Linked DNA regions of Oreochromis niloticus. The protein of the gene in region 2 interacts with the protein of the main gene of each other region in a pairwise test. Links are inferred from orthologs where the notes say so. Each region holds a gene or a part of one and is shown on either strand. Other genes may lie near its edges. The genes, in order: cby1 and cibar1.

The links.
Region 1: the proteins of cibar1 (region 2) and cby1 interact in binary tests that used the Homo sapiens proteins (3 or more experiments, as listed by UniProt). The two-hybrid records come from large-scale screens. The link is inferred for Oreochromis niloticus from reciprocal best matches to the Homo sapiens genes CIBAR1 and CBY1.

What each region holds. Positions count from the first base shown.
Region 1 is NC_031973.2:22,606,401-22,614,604, reverse strand, and holds cby1 (protein chibby homolog 1), read right to left. Parts: upstream 3,258-8,204; 5' UTR 3,125-3,257; coding exon 3,119-3,124; intron 2,897-3,118; coding exon 2,798-2,896; intron 2,667-2,797; coding exon 2,561-2,666; intron 2,432-2,560; coding exon 2,319-2,431; intron 1,844-2,318; coding exon 1,763-1,843; 3' UTR 456-1,762; coding exon of another isoform or gene 443-455; 3' UTR 442-442; downstream 1-441. Other genes in the region: pdap1a (pdgfa associated protein 1a), read right to left, coding at 443-455; plbd1b (phospholipase B-like 1), read left to right, coding at 3,874-3,979, 4,482-4,704, 4,948-5,031, 5,730-5,871, 5,959-6,105, 6,435-6,579. UniProt on the Homo sapiens protein: Inhibits the Wnt/Wingless pathway by binding to CTNNB1/beta-catenin and inhibiting beta-catenin-mediated transcriptional activation through competition with TCF/LEF transcription factors.
Region 2 is NC_031985.2:21,571,467-21,579,316, forward strand, and holds the start of cibar1 (CBY1-interacting BAR domain-containing protein 1), read right to left. Parts: upstream 3,031-7,850; 5' UTR 2,877-3,030; coding exon 2,845-2,876; intron 2,311-2,844; coding exon 2,076-2,310; intron 1,975-2,075; coding exon 1,906-1,974; intron 416-1,905; coding exon 314-415; intron 1-313. UniProt on the Homo sapiens protein: Plays a critical role in regulating mitochondrial ultrastructure and function by maintaining the integrity of mitochondrial morphology, particularly the organization of cristae.

The DNA.
Region 1 (8,204 bases), on a different chromosome or scaffold from region 2:
CTATTAGAAGGATGTACCGACAAAAAAAGCCCGAATAGTTTGATCATATATTTGTGACAGTAAACTTGTACGAAGACAACGTCCAAATAGAAATTTCTATAACTGATTATGTATGTAAAATGACCCGGATGCGGTCTTCTCTGCGCATGGTATTAGCGGTTGAAAGCAAGCAACCAAAAGCAAAACAAAAAATCAAATACTATTCAGGTTTAAGTTAACACCAAGTCGTCATCTGAGCTCACGTGAAAACAAATAAATAATTGGATATCGGTACGTTTCCGATGCCTTTAATAAACCGTTCTTACCGGCAAATTACATTATGCTAACTATGTAGCATGCTAAACATGCTAAGCATGTGTGAATTCAAAGGGCTAATGATCCGCTAGCTAAAATGTACTCGCAAAAAGAGGCACATTATGTGAATTTTCGTTTTAATACTTACCACCACGAGGCATTGTTATAGGTAAGGTCTATAAAAGTCCACCACAACGTCAAAGAATAATACAACAGTTCACTCGAAACGCCGGTGATTTAAAGTGCTAGATGAAAAGAATAAAAAGTACTTCGTCTCTCCCGCTATTGGCAGACGCCTCTTTCGCTCGCGGAGACGTACGCATGCGCAGTTGGGACTATGAGCCGCACTGTGCGTGATTGAAACGTGGGATTGACCAATTGGATAAAGAGAGTTACATCATTCATAAAAGTTGCATGTAACGCTTTTCTGTTTAATAATATAATAATGGATAAATAAATAAAATAATAATTATGTATTTGGTTATTTGAATCCAAGTTTTTAGAAATGCATTTTGGTAGATAAACTGAAAGTTTTGGCATTGTTGTCTTTATTTTCTCTACCTATGACTGTAGTAAACAAAACCTTTAGACAGTGCTGAATAAACTCCTATGACTGACTGAACAACATAGCATAATTCACAAATAAATCAAGCTTTATTGGTCGGTCGGGAAGGAGATGCTGAAATTGAAGACAGATACAGCCTCAGAGTTTGTGCAGGTTTATGCACTACTAAAACTAATAAAAGAATTAAATGTAATGCCTTCAGTTTCCCTTTTCCTTTCATGGGTTTGAGCCTGTTTCAAAAGCATGTTTTTATTCTGTTTGTGAGCTAAATAAAAGAAAACAATGTACAAAAAGAGAAGCCCTGTATGCTATGTATTAAAGCTGTAAATAATTCTGACCACACAAAAGTTACAGTGACAAAAGTTACTCAGTAACTATATGGAAGGCATACTGTATATGAGATTATTGCTCTTATACTATGTGGAGCTGAATGAAAAGCCAAAATAGTGAATGAAGCCTTACTTTTCTTATTTTTTTCTTTGTAATGTGTTACTGTATATTTTTAGAGCTTCTATGAATCCAACAATTCACAAATGTTATTTTCTAAAAACCAAAAATCAAACAAAAAGAAAGAAATGCCTTTTGTCAATAGTTTACTTTTAATCCAAAAAGAAAATAGAAAAAATTAAAATTAAAAAGCAGGTTTTACATCACATACAAATGTACAAAGCATAGAAAATAGGCTGTGTATTGACCAAAGAAGGTTTTTAAGGTGGAATAACTCAACAAATTAAAAACAGAACACATACAGTAAATGGAAAATAAAGAGTGAGATGTAACACAAGAATCCTCATTGTGAGGAAAATGGATGATATTTTTACTTTTGTCCTGTTATCTATAGATACAAAAAAATTTTCCTTGGAAGAAAACACTTTATTCAATGGAGGCACTAGATCAGATCTGTCACTTTTTCCTTCGATGTTGAGTCTTGACTTCTTCCACTTCTTTCTCCATCAGGTGATACTCTACCGTAGTCTCGGTCAACTTGAAGGAAAAGATTAAAGATTACTATTTAGAGACTTAGAGACTTAGACTTAGAGCTTTTTATTGTCATTGTGCAGTTTCTTGCACAGCGAAATTGGGTAGCTGGACCACAAAGGTGCTAAAGTAAGAAAAAGAGAAACCAATATACATCGAAGGTGGAAAATAAATAAATAAATAAATAGAATAAAATAAAATAAAAAGCAGTGTATATATATACATGTGTGAGTGGAACTATATACATGGTGTATGTGTAGGAAACATTGAAACAGACTGGGACCTATTTTGCGACAAACCGGGTTATATAATTGAATGAACTGGTAATTACATATATAACTTAAATATAATTTGCAGCCTACAAAAAGCAGTATTATGCAGTTATAACAGCTTTGCAGAGGAGGCAAAAAAAACTTTCCTACCTCAGAGCCTCATATTGCATCCTTAATGTTACTCACAATGTAATTACATTTGGTCTTACCATATCCAGGAGAAGTTCAATCTTTAGTTTTAATACGTTATTTTCCTCCTCCAGCTGGATATTTCTTTTCTTAAGCCGCTGAACTTCCCTATTAGACACATTTCCACCAGATTCTGGTTTCACAAAGGAGAAAAAAAACAGAGTTTATGCTGTGTTGGCCACAGGGAGGCAGACGTTGATAAAAAACACACACACACACAAACACACAGGACTAAAAGGTAATTATTCAGAAAACCCATTACCTGTAATCCACTGTCCCTCTTCAAATTTCAAGACCTGACCTCCAATGTTCATCACAGGAGGTCCATACTCAAGGCCCAGCTCTATTTCTCGAGTTGAACGATCCAACTAAAAAAGATAAAAAGGTATAAATTACGGTGAATGCTATCTCTCAGGATGTTATGCAGATTAACCACCCTAAACGTGCTCTATAACTAGTGTTTCCAGTGTGTGAATGATGGTAAAATTCATTAACTCACCGTGTGGAGGCTGGACAAGGAGGCGGATTTACGTGGAGGAATCTTTTTAGGACTAAATGTGTTTCCAAACAGAGGCATCCTCAGTGATCTTTTAAGGTCCTGTATCAGAGACGGCGAGTGGGAATTACAAATTTTAAGATAAAGCTAGCTTCGCCTAGCTTCTCACTGTGTTTACCGTCGCTAGCGCTGCACGACCAAATTAATGCTAGGCGGCTAGCTGTTTGAATCACTCATATCTCACAATTTAATGAAATTATCCCCTGACTTTCAGATTATTCAGCTAATGCTGTTTCAATTTAAATATACAACTAACATATTTACCTCCATACAGAGTATTTATTTAAGTTCTTAAAGTGGTGACCTGTATCCGTTTCTCTCAGAACATGCTTGCCACTGCGCAAGTGCGAATTTTCCATTTGTCCAAAGTAGGCAATCCTGAAACATTACACGACTTTCGCACAAACTATTCGGGAAAAAATTGTCCACCATAATACCTTTAAAGAAACTAAAATTTAATCCACCGTTTTACAGCTTTTTGTGGGGCATCGTATTCATAGTTTAATAAGATCTTCCTGTTTCTGAATGATAATGGAACAACCCGTGTAACGGAGCATCACCATGGTGATCTTTTACCGTCTTTGCGGTACGACGCTTTAATATTTTATTCGGATAAGCTCAAATAATTAAAAAAAATAACTCCATACATTAAATTGACTATTATGAACAACACAATGCAGATAATGGTAATGTAAAAAAAAGTACAGATAAAACAAACACTATTTCAGTAGGTCACGCGTGGAGTTGAAAAACAGTGACCCCGCCCCACTGTATACGCCGCCCCAGTGGCCTAATGGATAAGGCACTGGCCTCCTAAGCCAGGGATTGTGGGTTCGAGTCCCATCTGGGGTGTTCTCCTTTTCGCTATCGCATAAGATAACCTTAGCCTTCAAAGAAGTCATTTAAGTGCTTCGTTGTCTGTGGAAGAAAATCTTCACAGATCAATCTTAATACGTTTGAAGAATATGTGTGCCTAACTAGGCGAGAGGCAAGCAGAACACGGGACTTCCTCGGCTGACATGGATAAGCGCAGAATGGCACTCTGCGTACTGCTGAGCACTTTAGCTGCATCCGTAAAATCCACGGATGAATTCAGAAGAGCGAACGTGAAGCTCCAAACTTACCGTGAGTAACCTTACTGTGGCGTGTCTGTACACGGCGGGAACCAATTTTATATCCCTATAACTCCGCTAAACACAAAGTAAGTATCTTTACCGCTTTACAGCACTTCTTTAATGGACCGTTACTTTGTTCTCTCCGGTCTAAATTTTACAGTTTTAAAATTTAACATGATTTGAACATGCAACTCGAAATACCATAACCATTTAAATGCATTTAAGCACATCTTTTCTTTTTAAAATGTTTTTGTAACACTTATGTCAACAAATGTAAGTTTAAAAAATATGCTTGTGTATTGATTCGAGCAAGGACACTAACACAACATTGTGTTAGCGTCCTTATAATATTAATATACAATGAGTATTCATTTGACAGAAAATAGTAGCACATGAGAAAGCACCGAAAAATGTAGCTTTTGTTGTAATTATTCTATCTGTGTCATGACATTATCTTACATAATGTGTGTTATCTAACTTCAAGCATGTAACCCATCCTCCTACAATGGTAGAACTCCAAGAGGCCACTGTGCACTGGGATGCTGCCCAGAAAAGTGTGATCCTGAAGGAGGGGTTGATGGAGACCGAGGGGGGAGCGTATGGGTACTTCAATGACACTCTGCTCCTCTCAGGATGGGGCGTCCTGGAGATCAATGCAGGCTATGGAGAAGTCACTCAGGAAGATGAGACCACCTTCTTCTTGGCTGGCTACCTGGAAGGTTACCTCACTGCTGGGTGAGCGGCACAGGCAAAGTGCAAGCATGAAAATACACTCAATGAGCACTTTTCATGCAATTTTCCAGTGAGCCAATCATGTGGCAGCAATTCAGTCCAACACATAATGCAGATACAGGTCAACTTCAGTTCGTTACAGTTTGATTACATTTCTTATTAGGTGTAGCTGCTAGCTCTGCCTGTAACATGCAGAATACTTTTATGTGGGCTAATCCCTCACTGCTTGTTCTCCTTCCGTTGCAGACAGATGTTCAGTCATTACTCCAACATGTACCCTCAGCTGATCAAGGATGAAAAGGTTCTGGAGCCCTTGAAAAACTTTTTGAGGTACAGTGTTAAATTATATAAAATCAAAGCCATGGATTAAACTAAGAGTAATCCCATGTCTAATACTGGATTTATAGGGGTTTCTCTTTGTTTTCCATTGCCTTCAAGATGCTTTTTCAGAGGCTGGGTTAACCAGTATTGTGCACAGAGTGTATATAAAAGATGGGTGTAGCTTCAAGGTTTCAAAAGTCAGTCTGTAAGGTAAGTGATTCAACCCTTCTCTGCTTTTAATAGCCTGCAGGAGGTGACTCTCCTGTTGGCAAAAAGACTGTGTAGAAGTTTAGGGAAATTATCTTAATGCTCACTTAATCTGTGACCTCAGGAAACACTAAGTTTATAGGCTCAGTCTTAAGTCTTACTGGATAAATTCTGGTGATGTGGTCATTGTTATGAAAGTCAAATACTTCTTCACAGCTGTGTAAATTTAAAGCATGCAGTGGTATGCATCAGTTCTCTGTCATATTCACACCTTACCCGTCACACCTGGGTTCAAGACAGCAAAACACCAAAGATCGCAAAGTTTAGTTGAAGGCTTTACAAGACTCATTTAGGCAGCGGACATATACGTCCATCTTTTATATACATTCTATGATAGTGCCTCATAACTATCAACTGTCTATACAGAATTTACAAATTATATTTATGCACCTATTGATTGTTAGAGTGATGTAAAACTGCACCATTTGAATTAACCCCAGCAAACAAGACCAGTGGGCCAGAGAGCAGGTGAAGCTCAGGAGAAACAGTGACCCCTTGTGGAGGCATATGGGACTGATCCTGGCTCAGCTGGATGGACTCCACGCAGGAGCTGCACTGTGGGCCAAAAGCAAACACAGGGAGGTGTGTATGTGTGTGTTTGTGGTTGTGAGAGAGTTGTCACAGTCATTTCATGGATCTCTTGCCACTTGCTCTTTCCCTCCTGCGCAGCCTCTATCAGCGTTCACGGTCCAGTTTCTAAATGGTGTCGGTGACCTCTTGGATCTTGTCCCAGCTCTGACACCTCGCTCCAACTCCTCCGCAGGGTCCGGCGCTTTCAGGATGCCTGGAATGGGCCACTGCACAGCTCTCATAAAGGTTAGGCCAAGCTCATTTGGCTCAAGTGAGGGAGCCCTTGGGAAAACCTCAACACAAACCTAACTGCTTTTATTGGCCTCTGTGAGCAGGGTTTTCTTCTTTTAAATGAGTGTAAAAGGCCATTGCAAGGGGCTTATTTCCTCTTCCACGTACACCAATCTATGGAACAAAGACAAAGTTCAAATGGATGTGTGTTACTGGATTTTTATTAAGACCCCTTTAATGTGTCTTAATAAAGTTAAACTCTTTCTTTTATGATTCAGTGATGGTATGTTGTTTCTTTTAAAAAATATAGATGTTTCTCTTTCTCTCTCTTCTCTGTGTCTCAGGTTCTTCCAGGCTTTGAGAACCTGCTAGTCGGCCACTCTAGCTGGTATACTTATGCAGCCACCATGCGGATCTATAAACACTGGGACTTCAAGGTGTCTGACACACACGTAGCCACTGGAAAGATGTCGTTCAGCAGCTACCCTGGTACACACACTCCCACTACATCGCATACACTATAAAAGCTGCACAACTGCACACTTATATGCATAAATATACTCAAATAACCAATGTGTCTCGAGTAACTTTGGAAAAAAAGATCGATTTGCAGAAGAAGAGGGATTTTCAAAGAACAGACTTCACTTCTTTCTTGCAAAAGCTCCGAGGTGAGGTGAACTTCTTATCCTTAATCCACAAGGGAAAATATGAACACTGACATCCAGGAATTAACCCAAATCCCCAATGAACATTTCCTACTCGACACAATTCTCCTGCAAAGCATGCAGCTTAGGCAGTAATAAGAAAACACTGAATCCAGCGTGTGTTTGTGCACACGCTCAAACAGAGCTACACTCCCCTCACTGTAGAGTTAGAGGAGACAGAGAAATTTTGTGGCTAAAGATTTGTCACGTGGACCAGGCCATAAAAAAATCCTCTTGTGGACTCCAGTGCTATCAGGACATAAGTGGTTTTAAAGCACTATATTTAGAGAGCAGCAGGCCAAGGATATCACCTCACTATATTGAAACAAAGAGATGAAATACAATGGGGTCAGCAGAGGTGACGTGCACCCCCTGTGGCCTTCCTAAGCTGCTTCCCCTCTGACAGTACTGAGGATTCATCATGCACTGCAGGTCAGCGCCATGAGAACAAGAAGAGATGCTGAGCGGTCTCAGTGGTGGAAATATTCAGAGACATCTGGCTTTTATTGTTAATAACACCACCAGCAGAAGAGGCAGTAGCACTTCTAGTGCAGGAGTTGGATTTCCTTTTCATGTATAGAATACAGAGTAGTATAGAGTATTTCTACCTGGTGTTATCATAAAAGTAGTATGACAAGTTGAAACTTGAAATTATTATAATACACGCAATCAGAAGAGGAATGGTGATAACACTTCTGGTACTTGTTATTCATGAGCGTGATATTGATATCTTTAACAAAAGTCATACAGTCACATGAAAATAAAGTTTTCACAGCATAGCATGAAGTGCTGTGAAAAACTACTTGTAGAAGCACCTTTAGCAGCAATAACCTGAAATAATTGTTTTCTTTATGACTTTAACAGACTCTCACATCACTGTGAAGGAACTTCAACGCACTGTTCTTTACAAGGTTCTTCAGTGTATTGAGGTTTGTGGGCGTTCATTAATGCACAGCTCTCCTGAGGTCCCGCCACAGCCTTCAGTCACTTTGCCTGGGTCTATGAACTTTCATTTTTTCCTTTTTTTAGCCATTCTGTTGTAGATTTGTTGCTGTGCATGGGATTGTTGACATGTTGCATGAACCATTTTGAGTCAAGCTTTAGCTATCGGACAGATGTCCTCACGTTTGACTCTAGAATACTTTGGCATACAGAGAAGTTCCTGCTTGACTCGGTGACCACAAAGGTCTCAGATCATCACCCCGCCACCGCAGTGTTGACAGTTGGTATGAGGTGTTTGTGCTGATATGCTGTGTTTGGTTTTCAGCAAATGTAACGCTGCACACAATGGTCAGATATCTCCACGCTGATCTCGTCTGTCCAAAGGTCATTGTTCCAGAGGTCTTGTGGCTTGTTTAGCTACAACTTTGCAGATTGAGGCGTGCTCCAGTGTTGTTTTTGGAGAGAAGA
Region 2 (7,850 bases):
CTGAAAGCTCAGTCAAGGAAACTTAAGAAATATAAGCTTGTCTGTTCATTCTAATTCTGCAGGTGGCTCCTGTACAGCACTTGTTACCACATCACAGGAATTTGCCATTTGCAGGTAAAACTCTCCAAAGTTGACACGACAAACATTTCAAACAGCTCCAAGCTGATGTCTATAACTAACGAAGAATTGAATTGATATTAGCAGGCATCCATTTGATTATACATACAGATGGCTGTTGTAACACTGAAGCCTTTTTGTCAATCTGGTATCAGAGAGAGATTTAAAGAACTGAAGAGAAACAAGTCAAGGATACAATGATCTGCCTGTCTGAGGGGTTTCTCTGCCTGGTCCTCTCGAGCTGAGCCATCTGTTTGGCTTCTCTGTCTCTGGCACTCTGAGTAGTCTTCAGATCCTCCTGCACAGATACACAAATACGCAGAAGTTATCAAAATAATTAATAATGGTAGCGTGTAATGCACAATTTGCTAAACATGACTTAACATATAGGAATTTGGTGTGAATCAGTGAGGATCAGGATCTCCAGTAGATCCTGTTGTGCAAGTTTTTGGTTTATCTTCAACTGTACTGTCAACCATAGCTTTTTAATTGCTCTGTGACTTTAGTCGTTGAATATATTGAAGGAAAGGGCACATTTTTAAAAAAATTAAAATGAATGAATGCATGCAAGAGCAGAATACAAGTAAACACACACACACACACACACACACACACACACACACACAAAGACTAAAAGCCAAACAAGGCAAACATTTACTTAAGTCAATTTGGACAGTAGTGTCCAAATTGTCTGTGAAGTACCACAGGATGTCCTCTTGATATACTTTAAAAAAATAGTGGTTAGCAGAGTGCTGGCAATGGGTCAAAGTGGCTTGAAGAGGTAGCGATATGTTATCATTAAGACAATACTGCCCTCATGTGCCTTTGCCATAGTAATGACACCAACAGCAAATTGATCTGCGTCCCTCACTGCCCCCTAGGCTCCTTTATCCAGGCTTACTTGTTGTTCCTAGAGTATTTAAAAGTAGAATGGGAGGGAGAGCCTTCAGTTTTCAGGCCCCTCTTCTGTAGAACCAGCTTCCCATTTGGATTCGGGAGACAGACACTATCTCTCTTTTAAGATTAGGCTTAAAACTTTCCTTTTTGCTAAAGCATATAGTTAGGGCTGGACCAGGTGACCCTGAATCCTCCCTTAGTAATGCTGCAATAGACGTAGGTTGCCGGGGGATTCCCATGATGCATTGAGTTTTTCCTTTCCAGTCACCTTTCTCACTCACTATGTGTTAATAGATCTCTCTGCATTGAATCATACCTGTTATTAATCTCTGTCTCTCTTCCACAGCATGTCTTTATCCTGCCTCCTTCTCTCACCCCAACCGGTCGCAGCAGATGGCCCCGCCCCTCCCTGAGCCTGGTTCTGCTGGAGGTTTCTTCTTGTTAAAAGGGAGTTTTTCCTTCCCACTGTCGCCAAAGTGCTTGCTCATAGGGGGTCATATGATTGTTGGGTTTTTCTCTGTATCTATTATTGTAGGATCTACTGTACAATATAAAGCACCTTGAGGCAACTGTTGTTGTGATTTGGCGCTATATAAAATTGAATCGAATTATTCATTTAGCGACACTATTGCTAAATTTGACAAATTTACTTATGAATTTGTGTGTAAAACTTTGGATTTTAACATGCAAATATGTGACAGAAAAAGTCACAAAAAGGCACTGAAAAAATTCACTAAAATCCCCGTTGGCCCTGTGACAACCTGGTTACCTGTCCAGCTTGTACCCCAAATCCTGCTTTATGACAGCTGGGATAGGCTCCAGCCCACCTGACTGGATGGATGTGTGGTTCAAATCAGTGTCAACATGACAGCAGGCTGCAGTAAAACTTACCCTTTTCCGTTTCACTACAGCTCCATAGCTTTTTAATGGCTCTATGATTTTAGATTCAAGTCGTTCCACCTGCAAGACCAGCTCTGCATTAGTTTCTCTTCTACCCATTATTTAAATTATGGATATGAACATGAAATAATGATTGAAGGTAAGGATTCAAGGAGGTCCACCTGAGCTTGACGATAATCTTGAATCTTGGCCAGATGGTCGGCATACTGCTTCATCCCCCTCTTAAGGCTTGGTGTTTCGGTGTCTGCATACAAGCCAATTTCCTGGACCAGAAGGTCTGCCTTGTCTCGTACCTTGGCTGTCTTACGGACATAGGCAGCAAAGAGTTGGCACATCTGTCCAAAATGTTTCTCCACATTGGTGATGTTCTCTTGGATCCTCCTTGTCTGGTTATCCCTGGAAAGGATAAAGGAGAACATCAACAGCAGTAATCAAACATAATTTTATAAAGGGTTTCATATATTTGAGTAGGGAAAACGATAAACGTCTATTTTGCACAAGGCCTGTGAAAATTACTTTTTGCTGTTTCATCTAAATGCAAGTAGCAATCCATAAAAACATCCTGTAAATGCGATGCATCCTTGCTTGTTATCCTTCGCTCCATTACTCTTGGTTATACGGTCACTCAACCAGCTACATGCAATAAAACAGCTAAACTAGTAAATGCGCTGTTTTAGTATTATAAACACATCCCCGTTTAGTGAATAGTGACTCTATAGCTATATAGCATCACTAACTATGACTTAACCGACGAACAAATAACTCGTTATGAGTGCAGTTTATCAATGAGAAGCGTGACGACACAGGTTAACTAGTTAACTGCTAGCCTACCTTTATGCATACACAGTATGTCCGTTTATTTTTTTGCTAACGTTAACTCTCCCCACCAAATAACACGGGATGTGTTTTGGCGGGTGGGATCTTTCTTACCTCGCTCTCGCGTCAGGCGTACGGCTCATCATTGCAAGCACACAGTGTGAAATATGTTCGAATAGATCCGCGTTGACAGAATCTCTGATTTTACGTTAGCTAGCTATCTATGAACGCTCTTTTCTATCAGGCAAGCACGCCAGCTGGCCGTTTCCATGGAGTCCCTGGAGCGTTTCCGCTTTAGGAGTGCAAAAAGGAATCCTGGGAGATGGAGTCGTTATAGCTGTAAGCTCTCCATCTTTGTCTCTCTTTTTTATTTCTGTCCTTTTCTTTGAAGTCACTGAAAAAGTTGCTTTTTCTTTACAGCTACAGCTTCTTAAGATGACGGAAGATGGACAGGTATGCAATAATGTCTAATGTAATTATCTACTCTATCTATCACAGGGATGACCTATAGATAGATAGACAGACAAACAGACAAACAGAGGCAACACTGTTAAAAGTACCGCAGACCCACACGATTATAATGTGAGATGGCGCAAAATTTTATATACAAAACTGATAAAATGATGAAAAAAAGTTAATGAAAAATAATATTGTACAAATTTTTTTTTTTAGTAAACAGTAGTGCAAATAACATTAACAAATTACACTATTACACTAGGTTAAGAAACAACAGCACAAAGGAATAACACGGAAATGTGTGCTGCATCCTGACATGTGTGTTCGCCTGTCATAAAAAAGGGAGTTGATGTAGGGTTTTATAAAGAACAGTAGGAAAGGATTTCCTTAAGTGTTCTCAGTGTCAGTCTTTTTTGAACCAGATATCAAAGGGTATTTATTTATTTATTTATTTATTATAATGCACCTTTCTTACACAGCCTAAATTCTGCTGTCTCTGAATCATAAGGTTTGAATGCTTCAAGACTGTATAATGCATATCTGTATAATGCAGTGTCTAACTGAGACAAATGCCTCTTATTAAAACAACAATGATGCATTTTTGTATGAATACCTTGTCATCATAACCATGAAATTTTTAAATATCCATCTGTTTCACTTTAGGATTTCTAACATAGTTTTGATGAACTTGAAAACCTAATGTTTGTGCATGCTTGGTAATTTGTTCCCCGCTTTCTCCTACAGCAACATGGGCTGGTACTAACAAAAAGCAGCTTTTTAATCTCATTAATATATGTAATATTGTGCTGTACTATTACAAATATTAATAGTATTGCAATAATAGTATTTCTTTTCTTTGTGTTAACAGTGCCAAATTCCTTCCTCTAAAATCCAAATATTTGGCTGCTCTCCATCGGTTTCCCAAATAGATTAAGGTACATTGCAACAAAAAGGGCCACAAATAGTCATTTTCAACAACAGCTTGACTATTTTTGAACTGGTGCCAAGAGCAGACTTTGTGATCACTGAAATGAATGGAGGCCTCATTGTAATTCCCTCCTCTGTGTTTGGGAATGCATGAATGTCACCAGCTGCCACGTCTGCTCCTCTGTGGAAAATGTCCAAAAACCTTAATTATCACGCTTAATCATCCATGGGATTGAAGCAGGGGAGATCCCACTGTAACAGATTGGAGATGTAAAACACGGTCATTGCATTGAGCTGTGTGCCTGGAATCCCAAGAGAACCCAGTTTATCCTCTCCAATACAGCTGATGTTGGTATAGATTAATTTTTTTTGTTAAATGCATCTCATAGAACCTTCTCATTCTAAGATTGATGGTTTCTAGCATCTGGATTTTTTTTTTTTATCGGTCTAATGAACATTTAAACCCATTTCTTTTCTGCAGTAAAAAGAAAAGCATTAGTATTGCTTTTATTCCCACATATAAGGATTATTTTTGATTGAACAGCATCAATCAATCATTTTCTATCCATTCCTGTAATTCCAACTGTTGTGTGTGAGAGTGATTAGTGTGAATCAGTGTGATTGTTACTGGGTGTGTGGATGTGGACATTAAGGGGAGCTGGGGAGTTTTTTGGCTTGTTCAGCAATAATCTTTTTAATTCCATTGGAAGAAAAATTGTGACTCACTAGGATTTATTTCTCATATAATGTGGTCTGAATGTCATGTAAGGTCACAGTCATCAATAAACACAACCAGGTTAAACCACACATAGACAACTGTACCTTTTCTGTACACTGTTTTGGGTATGAAGATGAGATTGGAAAAGCTGCACTCAATCAACTCAGCAAAATTCCTAGGATGTCAGATGAAGTAGAAATTCTGGACTGCTGTTATTCTCCCACATCATGCATGTCGTCAAGATTGCGTCATGTAAAAAGAACCAGAGATTAAAAGGAAACACCTTCAGAAATACCAGTAACGTGCTAAAATCTCTATTTAAATATTTAGCCAAAATTGCAAAGCAGCATTAAAATCTGAGTGATAGTGGAAGGAGCACTATGATTTGGATCAGGGTCTGAACAAAAAATTCAAAACTGTGTCAAGAAGTCCTTGAAAGGGCAGCTGATGCACTGCTGTGACCTAAAGAAGACTGTTCAGTTCAGACTTGATTGTAGGATTAATTCCTGTACAAGTCTATAAACTGCTAATTGCTGCTGCAAAAGGAGGATCTGGACTTCTTAATTTGAAGAGGTATTTATTTTCACCATGAGCACTGTGTGAAACAAAGGCATAAAAAGTATAGGTGATTATTTCATCAGCTTAAGCTTGATTTAGACTTCTGGGGGAAAACATGTCTGAACTTACGTCGTAACCAGAAACTCCTTTTACGCCCACACTACAACCTTCCACTTCATTCAAGTCACTCCGGCGTCGAGATGTGTAGTTACAGTTCTCAAAAGGTGCACATCAGGTTATGTAGAAGGTTATGGTGTAGGGTTAAAAGAAGTTTCAGTTAACGTCATACGTTAAGATGTAGATTTCTTGCTGAAGCATAATTCAAGCATTAGCCCATCACTATATTCAGATGAAAGTCACATCTCATTTTATGAATATTAATTCTGAAATGTTGGTAGTCTACATCTACGGCCACATTTTCTCTCTCTTTATTATTTGATAATTAAGTGGTACACGTAAAGCAGCATTTCTTCTCCTTCTTTTAAGTGTGATTGCATTATTCATCCACATGATGGCACCCCACTTCCATTTGTGCCTTTTCCTAGGATGTAAATGGCAATCGGCATGGTTACAGGTGGACTCTGAATTATTCCTTCTCCTTTCCTACTTCATACATAAAAAATATTCTGCAGACCTCTTCTCGATCCATCTCCACCATCATATATTTACATTATTCAGCACTCCCTGGCAGGAACCCAGGACTAGATTTAACATCCCTAAACATTATAACAAATATAACAGATGCCTGTCTAGCTGGTGTCCTACAGGATCCTTGTGTTGAAAGAAGCCTGGGGCTGTTGAGTTATTTGCCTTGGCTGCTTGTAAATGTATTCAGGAGTGGTGGCATATTTTTATATTGTGCATCTGACTTTCTTAAAGAACAGATGGTGTTGTTTCCAGACTACCAATTAGCACGGAAAGGGTGGCAACCACTAGCAGCAGCTCTCTCTGCCTCTTTCATGCTCTCTTCTCACTCTCTTGCTGTCTCCGTCCCCCTGTGCCCTCTTGTTCAGTCTTCAGCTCTTTCTGTTTTTCCCTCTGCCCAGCCTTTTCCCTCTGCAGCCCTCTGTGCCGCTGTGCCAGTACCCCACTAGAGAGATGTGTGGCCTGCTGAACAGATTGGGAGTGACATATGTCAGACGTGGGGGGACTTCGTAGGGCAACTAAGTATATATCCCCCAGTGTTTTTGTGCATGTGTGTGTGCATGTTCGCGCTTTCCCTTCAGGTGTGAGTCCTGGTGTGAAGACTGCAGACTCGAGGCTCTCCTCCCACACTGGAGGAAGACATACGGCTTTAGATTCCCCTTTAATAACAAGAAGGAGTCAGTGGGAGGCACGCGTGTGTGTTCAGGGACGCTGAGGATTATGAACAGTGTGATATCTTGTATGCCACTTGGTGCATAAAATGAAATTACAAGCCAAGAGTCAATAACTCATCATGCTGATTTTGGCTAACCTCTCTCTCCTTCCTCTAACTGCCACGTTCCTCCGATTTGGCAAAGGGACACCGCGCTGCTCTCTTGCAGAAATTAACTCTGAAATATCCAGTGGGAAATATAGTCATCCTTTCTCCATATACCTTGGTGTCAGTTATTTATTGTTTAACTTTGAGATAGTCCTTAAATTAAGAATTGATTTATTCTCCGATGCAATTAAAAGCTCCCTTTGAGTGAGTCTAAATTTTAAAAAAACAGACGTTCTATATTTATCAATATATGATTGCCTTGTTTGATTGAGATTTTGCATCTAACTAAACTTTATTACAGCAGAACCATAGCTTTGAATTAAAATCTAGTGACATAGTGACTGTAACACATCCCCTGTGCGCTTTGGTTTCCCTCAAACAAGATGTCGCAGATCTTTCTGCACACAATAGACTATGATCAACACTCTCTGCAATTTTCAGATATGAAATTCAGTGATACTCCCTTTAACTCCAGCAACCTTGAACAAAAGTCTCCCTCAGTAGTTAAGCGGGTGCTTGAAGGGCAAGCCAACGCAGACACGGTCCAGTGCTTTTATTGACCCAATGAAAAACCTCTCTGTGTCTCCAGGGGCTTGGAGCTCAGGTTAGGGTCTTTGTTGTCTGTGTTCATTAGTGTCTCCTTCGCCATCACTCTCTCGCTCTCTCCCCCTCTTTATCTCTCTCTTACTCTCTCTCCAAGCACCTCCTTTTCTAACTCCCTCACTCTGTCTCTGCTGCTCTTTTCCCCCTGAGGAGCTGGAGAAGAAAATGTCACCAGATCAAATTAGTGGGAGCCTCCAACACTGCCTGTCTGCCTCTGCCTATTCCACAGAGTGATAGCATCACTCATGGAAGTTTCAGTTATTTGTCAGCCCAAAACTTTATCTTCCTCAGGTATAATAGTCCACGACTCTGTTAATAAAGTGTTTTTATTTCTTTTCTTGAAGTAGATTGAAAATAAATATCCACTATTTTTTATTACTGGATGTAATTTAG